2 linked regions of the Rattus norvegicus genome follow. The protein of the gene in region 1 purifies or fractionates together with the protein of each later gene. This does not show direct contact. Links are inferred from orthologs where the notes say so. Each region holds a gene or a part of one and is shown on either strand. Other genes may lie near its edges.

What was found.
Region 2: the proteins of Arfgef3 (region 1) and Phb2 purify together in Homo sapiens (affinity purification with western blotting; 4 studies listed by BioGRID). This does not show direct contact. The link is inferred for Rattus norvegicus from reciprocal best matches to the Homo sapiens genes ARFGEF3 and PHB2.

The regions. Positions count from the first base shown.
Region 1 is NC_086019.1:15,220,446-15,225,302, forward strand, and holds the start of Arfgef3 (ARFGEF family member 3), read right to left. Parts: upstream 3,298-4,857; 5' UTR 3,193-3,297; coding exon 3,108-3,192; intron 1-3,107. UniProt on the Homo sapiens protein: Participates in the regulation of systemic glucose homeostasis, where it negatively regulates insulin granule biogenesis in pancreatic islet beta cells. Also regulates glucagon granule production in pancreatic alpha cells.
Region 2 is NC_086022.1:159,202,475-159,207,305, reverse strand, and holds the start of Phb2 (prohibitin-2), read right to left. Parts: upstream 3,359-4,831; 5' UTR 3,233-3,358; coding exon 3,106-3,232; intron 2,956-3,105; coding exon 2,871-2,955; intron 2,599-2,870; coding exon 2,519-2,598; intron 1,695-2,518; coding exon 1,510-1,694; intron 900-1,509; coding exon 770-899; intron 654-769; coding exon 550-653; intron 482-549; exon of another isoform or gene 221-481; intron 137-220; coding exon 59-136; intron 1-58. Other genes in the region: Emg1 (ribosomal RNA small subunit methyltransferase NEP1), read left to right, coding at 3,610-3,777.

The sequences.
Region 1 (4,857 bases):
GTTGAGGCCCCCTTCTTCTCAGGTGACTCTAGGGTGATGTCAAATTCACAGCTAAAGCTAATTCCAACACCGTGCTGCCCCCATGAAAATCTAAATAAGGATTACTCCCCTCTCCTAACACAGTCTAAGTATGGGGTAAGGTGGTCTCAAAATCTATGTAGAACATATCAGACAACTCACAAAGATCAAGTCAAGGTCCCATAAACTGTATAATTTCACACCAACCCAAACCCCATTATTCTTCTAATGAACAATTCATGGACGGAGCAAGCACACTGTGGGGTGGGGGTCAGCTTTAACTCGCCTTTTCCCCGAACTCAAGGTATTCATGTGCCAAGTCTAAAGTACTAAGTGCTCTAAGAGAGTCTGGAGGGCAGGGCTCTAAGCCAGCGGAGTAAATGATTCCACCGAGACAGGCAGAGAAGGCTTCCTGTGAGGCCTTGAGGGATCTGGAAAGGTATTCCAGGCAGAAGAATATCAGAAGCAAAGAAAATAACTGCTGTGCATGGTGTCATCAATAAAGTGTCACAGATGACTGCCACCGGGCCCTGGAGCTCTTGGTGGGGCCATACGAAATGGAGCTGCTCTAGATTCTCTAAGCATTCTTAGAAATATAAATGTTACTCTATTTAAAAATACGAACGGCTGATCATCAACAACTACGTTCTAGTAAAAACCTTGACTTGGCTGTAGGAGGAAGAAGATGACCAGCAAAAAACGCCCATGCCTTTGTTTCTACTGCACTCCCCACTCCCCTTCAACAAACTGCTTCGGGTTTAAGAATTCTTCACTACAGGGAATGTCTGAAATGTATGCTCAAAAAAATAGAAGAAAAATAAGAGAACCTAAAGATTACCCATTGTCTAAGTCAGGGTTTCTATTCCTGCGCAAACATCATGACCAAGAAGCAGGTTGGGGAGGAAAGGGTTTTATTCAGCTTACACTTCCACATTGCTGTTCATCACCAAAGGAAGCCAGGAGTCAGGAGCTGATGCAGAGGCCATGGAGGGGTGTGGCTTACTGGCTTGCTTCCCCTGGCTTGCTCAGCTTGCTCTCTTATAGAACCCAAGACCACCAGCCAGGGGACAGCCCCACCCACAATGGGCTGGGCCCTCCGCCCTTGATCACTGGTTGAGAAAACGCCTTACAGCTGGGTCTCTTGGAGGCATTTCCACAACTGAGGCTCCTTTCTCTGTGATAACTCCGGCTTGTGTCAAGTCGACACAGAAAACCAGCCAGTGAGTAACATCTACCCCATCCTCCTCCTCCGGGAGACGCTCCTCCTTGCCATGTTTTCCAGCTGTGGTTTTTCCCTTGTAACCAGGAATGTTCCACGATGTTATTTAACCGTCACAGCTTTATCTCTTCTCTTGCTAATTACAGAGTAAGCACTGAGCAGTAAACGGGACCTCATCTATTCTTTTTTTTTTTTTTTTTTTTTTTGGTTCTTTTTTTCCGGAGCTGGGGACCGAACCCAGGGCCTTGCGCTTCCTAGGTAAGCGCTCTACCACTGAGCTAAATCCCCAGCCCCGACCTCATCTATTCTTACGGTCAAGGTGAATTCTGAACTTGACCCAGAAAACCTACCTGGCCTCAGATCTGGGCTTCCCTAGTACCTTCCGGGGCCTAAATTCAACACCTGCTGTTTAACACGCAAGATGTTGAATAGCAAAGGTCCAACTTATTAAAAAACAAACAACACTGGGTTACTCACCACCTCTGTGTTTATCTCAATCAGTTTCATTCACAGCAAACTAATAAGGAATACCAGGAATGGTGTATTCCATGCACAGTCAGGGCCTCCTTTACTATGTTAGCCAGCCGTCTGTGACCTTCCATTAGAGAGGCTTTTGGGAATCCAGCTAGGAATCATTGCTGAACAGTTAACGATAATGGCCACTGAAACCTTACTGCAGCTTTAGGAGCCTTGCCGCCTCTCAGACAGCTAGTCCATTTTCATTTAATACGGCCACTAAAATGGCCAAGTACTACTTCTACCTACAAGATAAACCTCCCTGGGCAATAATTGAAGACAATTTAGGGATATGCAGAGATTAAACAAAGGATGGTGCTGCTACAATTGTCTACACAGGGAGACACAGACATACATGTGTGCACAAACATGTGTATTAAGACCTTCCATCAGAACAGCATGACCTAAAACACTATCAGAATTCTGCCTTTAGTGGACGGGCAACTGATAGCATTTCTGTGTCTTTTTTTTTTTTTTTTTTTTCAGGTTGCACACAGCAAAGAATCATGACAAGTGCCAATTGGTTTTTATTTCAAGAAAAGGGTTTTGTTGTTGTTTTTTTTTTTTTTTTTTTTAAATTAACTGGTTACTGAGGCATAACATGCAGGCTCTTGTAAAGCAAGGGTCTCACAGAGCTGCCTGTTTAGTGCAGTTCAGTCCTCCCCATTCTCAGTGCCTTGGTCTTGCCTAATTGATATGTCATCCCGTTTATTTTCCGATGTTGAGGACTGCAGCCTACATGATGGGAAATGCTCATTTGCAACCAGGAACTTATCTCAATTTTAGCATAGCTCACGCCACTAAAAGCCCACCTGTCTGAGAGCCAGTCAGTAACCGAACTGCAGGAGTAACACAATTCCTTCAGACTGTTATTTCCCATGCACAATAGCCGTAAAAGTGAATATTTAGCAAGGTGGCCTCAATCAGCAAAATCAAATTAAACCAGCCTCTCCCTTCCTGGTTCCACTCACCAGTGTTTGAGAAGAGGGCTGTTGCTTTAATTAACTTCCTTTTTTTCTTCCATACCCCTGGAAACCAGGGCCCTGATTTCACACAAACTGGAGGTCCTAACTTGGCTTTGGGGAACCCGTGCCTATGGGCTCTAGGGACCAGGAATGGGGTTGCCTCACTCCAAAGGCAATGGTTCCCATAGAGGTTTGGGAAGTGGTAAGGGGACCAGATGGAGCCAGCTGCATGTCCACGCTGAGCCAAGATTTTCATACCCCGCATTAATTCTCCGAGGCAACATCCATAAGCCACACTCGGTGACAGTCCCTCCTGCCCAGGGGCCGGGAGGAGCCCGAGATCGGGGAGCAGGTGTCCTCACGCACCCCTTCGCCTCCCGCTCACTTACCCAGGGCCCAGGTACAGCTCTCTTTGATGGCTTTGTATTTGCTCCCGGACGCATCTCTCTGCAGCTTCCTCAGGATCTCTTCCATATTGGCTTTCCCAGAGCCAGGCCACCGACCCCGAGATCGCGCAGGGGACGCGCCTAGGAGGCCTCGGCACTCGTCCCCATCACTCTCGGCCGCCGCTGATGAATCACGCCCGCTCCACGCCACGGGCCACGTCAGCCTCGCCGCCCCGCCTGTTGCCACGCCCGCCGGGTCAGGTGCGCTCACCAGCCGGGGAACCCGGGAGGCCGCAGCCGCCTACCTAGTGCCTAGGAGGACCTGGGGTACCAGGCTTCATCCAAAGGTGGGGATCTGCGGCTGGCTGCCGGCCAGGCTCTGCCCTAGGGAATTCACCGAGATCCGCGGGCATAGAGCAGGGAGGGGCCTGGTCGCTTGTGCCAATCACCTGCTGGGCCAGCGCCTCCCAGCCTCTCTACTCTAGGGGGTAGAGAGTAATAAATAGTAAATAGCAAACAGCTGGTCCCCTCCCCGCGGAAGGCTGAAGCCATCCAGTGAGAACTACGTCATGTCTGCCTGCTGGGAGCTTACATGACAATGTATTAGACTCGTGCATCAGACTCTAATGCAGTTCTCTCTAATACTTAGAGAATTGGATGTGAAAATTAAGCCAGGAAGGGTTTAGAAGAAGATTAAAACGAATACACTCCCCCTTAGTACATTGAGATTTCCACCAAACCAGCTAAGGCAGAAATTGAAAAAAAGAAAAAAAAATCAATAGATTTAATTGACAACTTAAAATCTATAAATAGACCAGTAGTCAACCTGTGGGACTGCCCTGTATGTTAGAAATTAATGAGCCAGTATATAAGCGAGGAAACTAGACCTCGGCTACTTCCCAACCAACAAGAATTGTATTCCACACAGTCCGAATGTGAAGATGTTTTTTAAAACCTTCAGTACCAGCAGGTAAAGATAGGAGACCTAGAAGTTTCGTTTGAGACGGGCTTGAGGTACACGAGACTGTCAAAATAAATTAATCATCATCATCATCATCATCACCATCACCACCACCACACCACCACCACCACCACTACCATCATCATCATCATCACCATCAAATTAAGATCTCTTCCCTTCCTTTCTTTATCTCTCTTGTGCTGGCTGCATTGTTTGCCTCTGAAGGGACACACTGGCTGTGACAGTTCAGCCTATCAGGTTTTGGCAAGCTGGAAAGCCTGCCCCCTGGGAGCTGGGAGGACTAAACTAGGAAGGTAGCGTGAACAGAGCCTCTGCTCTTTAAGATGACTTCATGTGCTTCCCCTCTGCCAGCAGTTAGAGGAAGGAGGCCTGAAGGAAAGCAACGACTTTATTCTGAGAGCTGTGATAAGTAATGAAGGTGGGGTTACAAGCGAATTTGGGTTCTTTGTATCTTGGTTTTTGGCTTTTTTTTTTTTTTTTTTTCAAGATAGGGTCTCACCAAGTAGCTGTGGCTGTCCTGGAACTTGCTCTGTACACCAGGCTGACTTTGAATTTACAGAGATCGATCTGCCTCTGCTTCCTGAGTGCTGGGGTTCAAAGTGTGCGCCACCACCACCCAGCACAAATTCAGTTTTTAATTAGAAATATATTTCTAGTGGTAGAGGTGCTGTCTGCAGAAAGGGTGATGGCTTGGGGGTTATGTAAGCAGGTTTCACAGCAACCTAGAGTAGCTGGGCCTTAGGTAGGCTGGAAGAGAGATGTTTGGGGAGA
Region 2 (4,831 bases), on another chromosome or scaffold:
TGGCTGAACACTTTCAATCTCGATCGGCAGCCCTTCCACAGTGAGGCCTTCCACTCACCGTTTTAGAGATGTTCTGGGCAGCCCGGATCTTTCGGAGCTTGATATAGCCAGGATTCTTGCTCAGTGCTTCTCCAAGGTGAGCAGACAGGGTTAAGGATTCTTCTGGGCCAGGTTACATCTGTGACAATCTCCCCCACCCTCCGCCAAGAGCTCTTTGGGCTGTCAGATTCGAGGTCTGCGCTCACATGGCTACTCACACTTTGGCTCCTCCTGTGGGCCTCCCTACAGGATGCTGCCAGCGCTGTGGTGGCAGCTGACAGAGGTGAGGCCAGCAGTGCTATTGATCTGGCCTTACAGCAGGGAGTCAGGCCTCTGGCGCCCCTGCCAAGATTCCAGATCTCACTAGTTGTCCTGTCCTCCCACCACCCCCAAGCCAAGAGTCAGTAGGCCAAGTCGCATTCGCCTTAGTCTCATCAACCGGCCCATGGTGCAAGATGGCAAACAGGTTGTGCCAGGGGAGAGGCCAAGCTCTGTGCAACAGAAGGATATCATCTTAGCAGCCTCCGCCTCCCCCTCAGCCTGCACAATCTTCTGTCGTTGTTCCTGCTTTGCTTTCTCCACCAAAAACTGGGCCCTCTGGGCTTCCTGCTGGGCTGTGGCATAAGTGAACTGATGTTATAGCTGTAAGGTGTAGGAAGCCCACATACATGTGGTCCCCCTTCTCCGGTCTCCAGAAGCCCACCGACCTCGCCTGCCTCCATGGACTTACCCACTTGTTTGGCTTCTACAGCAGCTGTGTACTCTCGGCTGAAGCTTAGCTCTGTGATAGCTACATCGTCCAGGATGAGGCTGAAGTCCTTGGCACGCTCTGTCAGCTCTCTTCGGATCAACAGAGACACCTGGGGGCAGGGGTTGGGAGGGGAGGTTTGGTTTGAACTGAAAGGAAGGTGGCATTGCTGTAACTATCTGATCGCCAGAGCTCCTGAGTATGGGCACCAAACCTATCACCTAAATCCTTAAACATTCACTAGAAAAACATGGTTCCCTTTCTCCATGTGACAGTCAGGGCAGCATCAGACAGGTGTCACGACTGTCCCGTGTCACACCGAGTCCTAATCTCCTCTTTTCAATGTATGCATCTCCTTAGCTCCCTGTCAATCGAGGAAAGCCCTTTAGAGACGTGGGAAAGGGTATACAGCTATTGTTCTCTCCTGTGCTTCCTTCTTAACGTCCACTGCTATCAGGTTCTACAGCGGTGTCTCCTTATTTCCCACAGTCCAACTGGCCATGCAGGCAAGGAGAACCTGAGACTTCTGATCCTCCTACTTCTACCTCTAGTGCTGGGATTACAGGCATGCGCCACGCCTGGTTTGACACTTGGGAATACAACCAGGATTTGTGCACGCTAGGCAAGCACTCACCGACTGGACTACAGATCCATTCCACCCCATCCTGGAACACCTTTTATTTAGTACCCAGTAACCCTGACCAAGGAGACAGGGGTCAGACCTGAGCCCGCTGGGTAATGAGCTGCGAGGCGTTGAACTTGGCCACCACACTCTTGAGCACCTCATTAACAATGGACGGCAGCACTCGCTCCTCATAGTCTAGGCCTAGGCGCTGGTACATGCTGGGGAGCTCCTGGGCATTGGGCCGAGACAGTACACGCAGGGAGATGTTCACCATCTGCAGGTCTGAGGGAGAGGTCAGCAGTGGCCGGTTAAGGCCAAATTCCCCCTTTCCCAGCATCTTTTCCTATGAGTGCTACCCACCATGCTACCCACCATGTTACACAGTACAGACTAGCTCCACTGGGAAGATGATCATGTCAACGAGGAACATGTGGACAACACGGGTGAGACAGATCCTTGTTTACTGAGAAATCTTTTCTACAGGTCTTCCATTAATACAGCTTTAAAAAAATTTTTTTTTTTTTGCTACTCCTCCAAAGTGGATTCACCAAGCAGCACAATTTTGGGTTTCCCCCTAATCATCTGGAGAACCAGAACTGTGAACTGTTTATTGTTTATTTCCAAGGCCTGTGGCTTGGCCAATGAATAAACCACATACACTGCAAACAGCACAAAGAAGCACATTTCTGGGGGCTACTTGCCTCAGTGTGTACATGGGAATGAGGCAGAGGCCTGGGGAATCTCAAAGGCAGGACTTCTAAATGTGGTCTACAAGGAAACAGCTAGTGAAGAGTGGGGGCACTTTCTCCAGAGCAAGGTGTACTGTGGATGTAATCAACAAGTCAACAGAAAAAAGGCCTTAAAAAAAGGCTTGGATCCAGGCAGCAAGGAAGAAAGGCAACTCATTTCGTTTATGCTAGGCAGAAGGTAACGTTAAAACGTGCACACATACTTACATGTATTGTTTTGAACCGTGAGGCATGGCTCTTTTGCAGACATAGAATACAAGCCCTAAGAAACACTACCATTTCTGGCAGCCTTGCCAGGCTCATTTTACATTTCTGTCTTTCCCCACGTGCCATGCAGCTCCCAGTTGCCCACATTACCTTTGGAGCCTGTGGGGGAGGAGATTTTTCGAGGTCTGGCCCGAATGTCATAGATGATGGGGTACTGGAACCAGGGAATCCTGGAAAGGAGAGGTCAGGGACAGGAGTTGGGAAACTACAGTTTCATTGATTTTGACCAGTTTCCCCTCACCACTCGTCCTTGGGCCTGTTCCTCCCCATGACCACAGACAGGGAGATTCTCTTTTCCAGGTCGAGAACAGCCTTTTATGCTGGCACTGTCCTTACGAGAAGGAGTGAGGAGGGGAAAAAGCAGTATCGAATCCTGTTGTTAAGTCTGGCTACAGCCGTCAAGGGTGAAGGGTCAGGGCCTGCTCGCTCTGCCCGCCATTACCTGAAGTGAAGGCCTTCGGCTAGGATTGTGTCCTGTTGTACGCCACCAATACGATTAAAGAAGATGGCTCTGTGACCACCTTCCACTGTGGAGAGAGGGGTGGGAGTCAGGACAAGCTGCTGGTCAGGCTCAGGCGGGACAGGGATGAGGGAGCATGGAGGCGCGGACACTTGGGGGAGGTAGGACAGTGGGTCTGGAGACCGCGAGGTCCGGTCAGTGGAAGGAGGTTGCTCACCAGTGAATACGGACTCACGGACGCCGTAGGCCACAGCCCCGGCCCCCAGCAGCAGCTTCAGCGCCGTGCCCATGCCCCGAGGCCCGGAGGGCAGGCGTCCCGCTAGGTCCTTTAAGTTCTGGGCCATGTCTGATTCTCCTGAAGGCGGCGGCACCAGTGGTCAGGAGGGGGTGCCCGCCAGCTTCTACCCCACTCCAGTTTACACACCTCGCCTTGCACACGAGGATTGGAGGCCTTAGAGCTCGCGGGAGAAAGGGCACCGGAAGTGCGTTCTCTCTGAACCCGCCCCCGTTTGCTTAGTCGGACCCAAACCTCGCGCACAGTAATGGCGCATCCGGAAGTCCCGCCCCCTTTGGAGGTGTGCCCTCTTAGAGAGGCTTCCGTACAGGTATCGCCATTTTCAAGCGCCCTCTTTCAAAATGGCAGCTAGAAGGAAGTTTGCAGTGAGGCGGACGTGAAGTTCTAACTTAAGGACCTTAGCGCAACTTCCGGTCTGCTTACAAGATGGCTGCGACCAGTGGTGGCTTCCAACCTCGTGAGCGGCGTTTTTCAGTGCAGGAACAGGACTGGGACCCTGCGCCGCCTAAGAGACCCCGGCTTGGGGCAGGAAGCAAGTGTGGAGGCCGTAGGCTCATTGTGGTGTTGGAAGGGGCCAGTCTGGAGACAGTCAAGGTAGTTTTGAACATGAATGCGGAGGTAGTCCATTGATGAACCAGATTCTGTGGGGCACAGAATGAATGGAAAAACGGAGCCGTGAAATTTGCTTTTGAAGGATGACCTAGTTTTGCAGGCGGTTGACATCCTGGATTGGCAGTGTTTTCTTTTGCTCTTGACTCTCATTTTAGCTTTTAGTTAATTTACCAGGGACTCTGTGATATAAAATGCAAAATGGGGGAAGCATTGAGGTTTCCCACATTTCTAAAGGCCAGTGACTTCCTCAGCCTTTTATTGCTAAGGATTTGATGTTTTATTTTGTTAAAAGGCTTTCGACCGCCAGCTTGTTTTATATTTACCTATTTTGAAGTGTGTCTGATCAGATTATTTAAAAAGCCTTCGTCTTTGCTTTTTTACCCCCTTAAATACTTATTTTACCCTTTCTTATGCATGCAAGTCTCCATGTGGCCGTGAGCCACCTCATGTGGGTGCTAGGAAGCTAACTTGGGTCCTGTACAAGAAGGCTTTGTCATAACCCCTGTGCCATCTCTCTTGCCCCCTCCTTCCTTCCTTCTTTCTTTTGTCTTACCTTTCAGAGCTAAACTTGTTCATTGGTTAGATCCAGAAGTCATCCCCCAACCCCTTCCCCCAATACACACATACCCCACACACACTCTGGATGGTTGTATTTTGTAAGTCTTGGAATGCAGTCGAGGTTGGCTTGGAACTCTCCACCTTCAACCTCCTCAGTACTTGGATATTTATAGGTGAGTTTCACCATGCCAGGCCTGACCTGGATTTAAATTTGGTCCTTAGCCTTTCCTAGTGACTGTGAGAAAACATGTTTGCTCTCCCTTTGTAAGGTGGTTGTATACCAAACCACACAGGAGCTGTATTGACAGTCCTGTAAAGGTGGTTAAGAGTGTTACCTGAGAACCCGAGGTGAGAGTCATTTCCATTTGTTCTTCATGTACACTTTATTAAACTAGAAAACTGTTTTCCCCTTCTACTCTTTTCCCCTAGACTTATTTCTGAGTACCCTGGAACTATCTTCAGACACACCAGAAGAGGG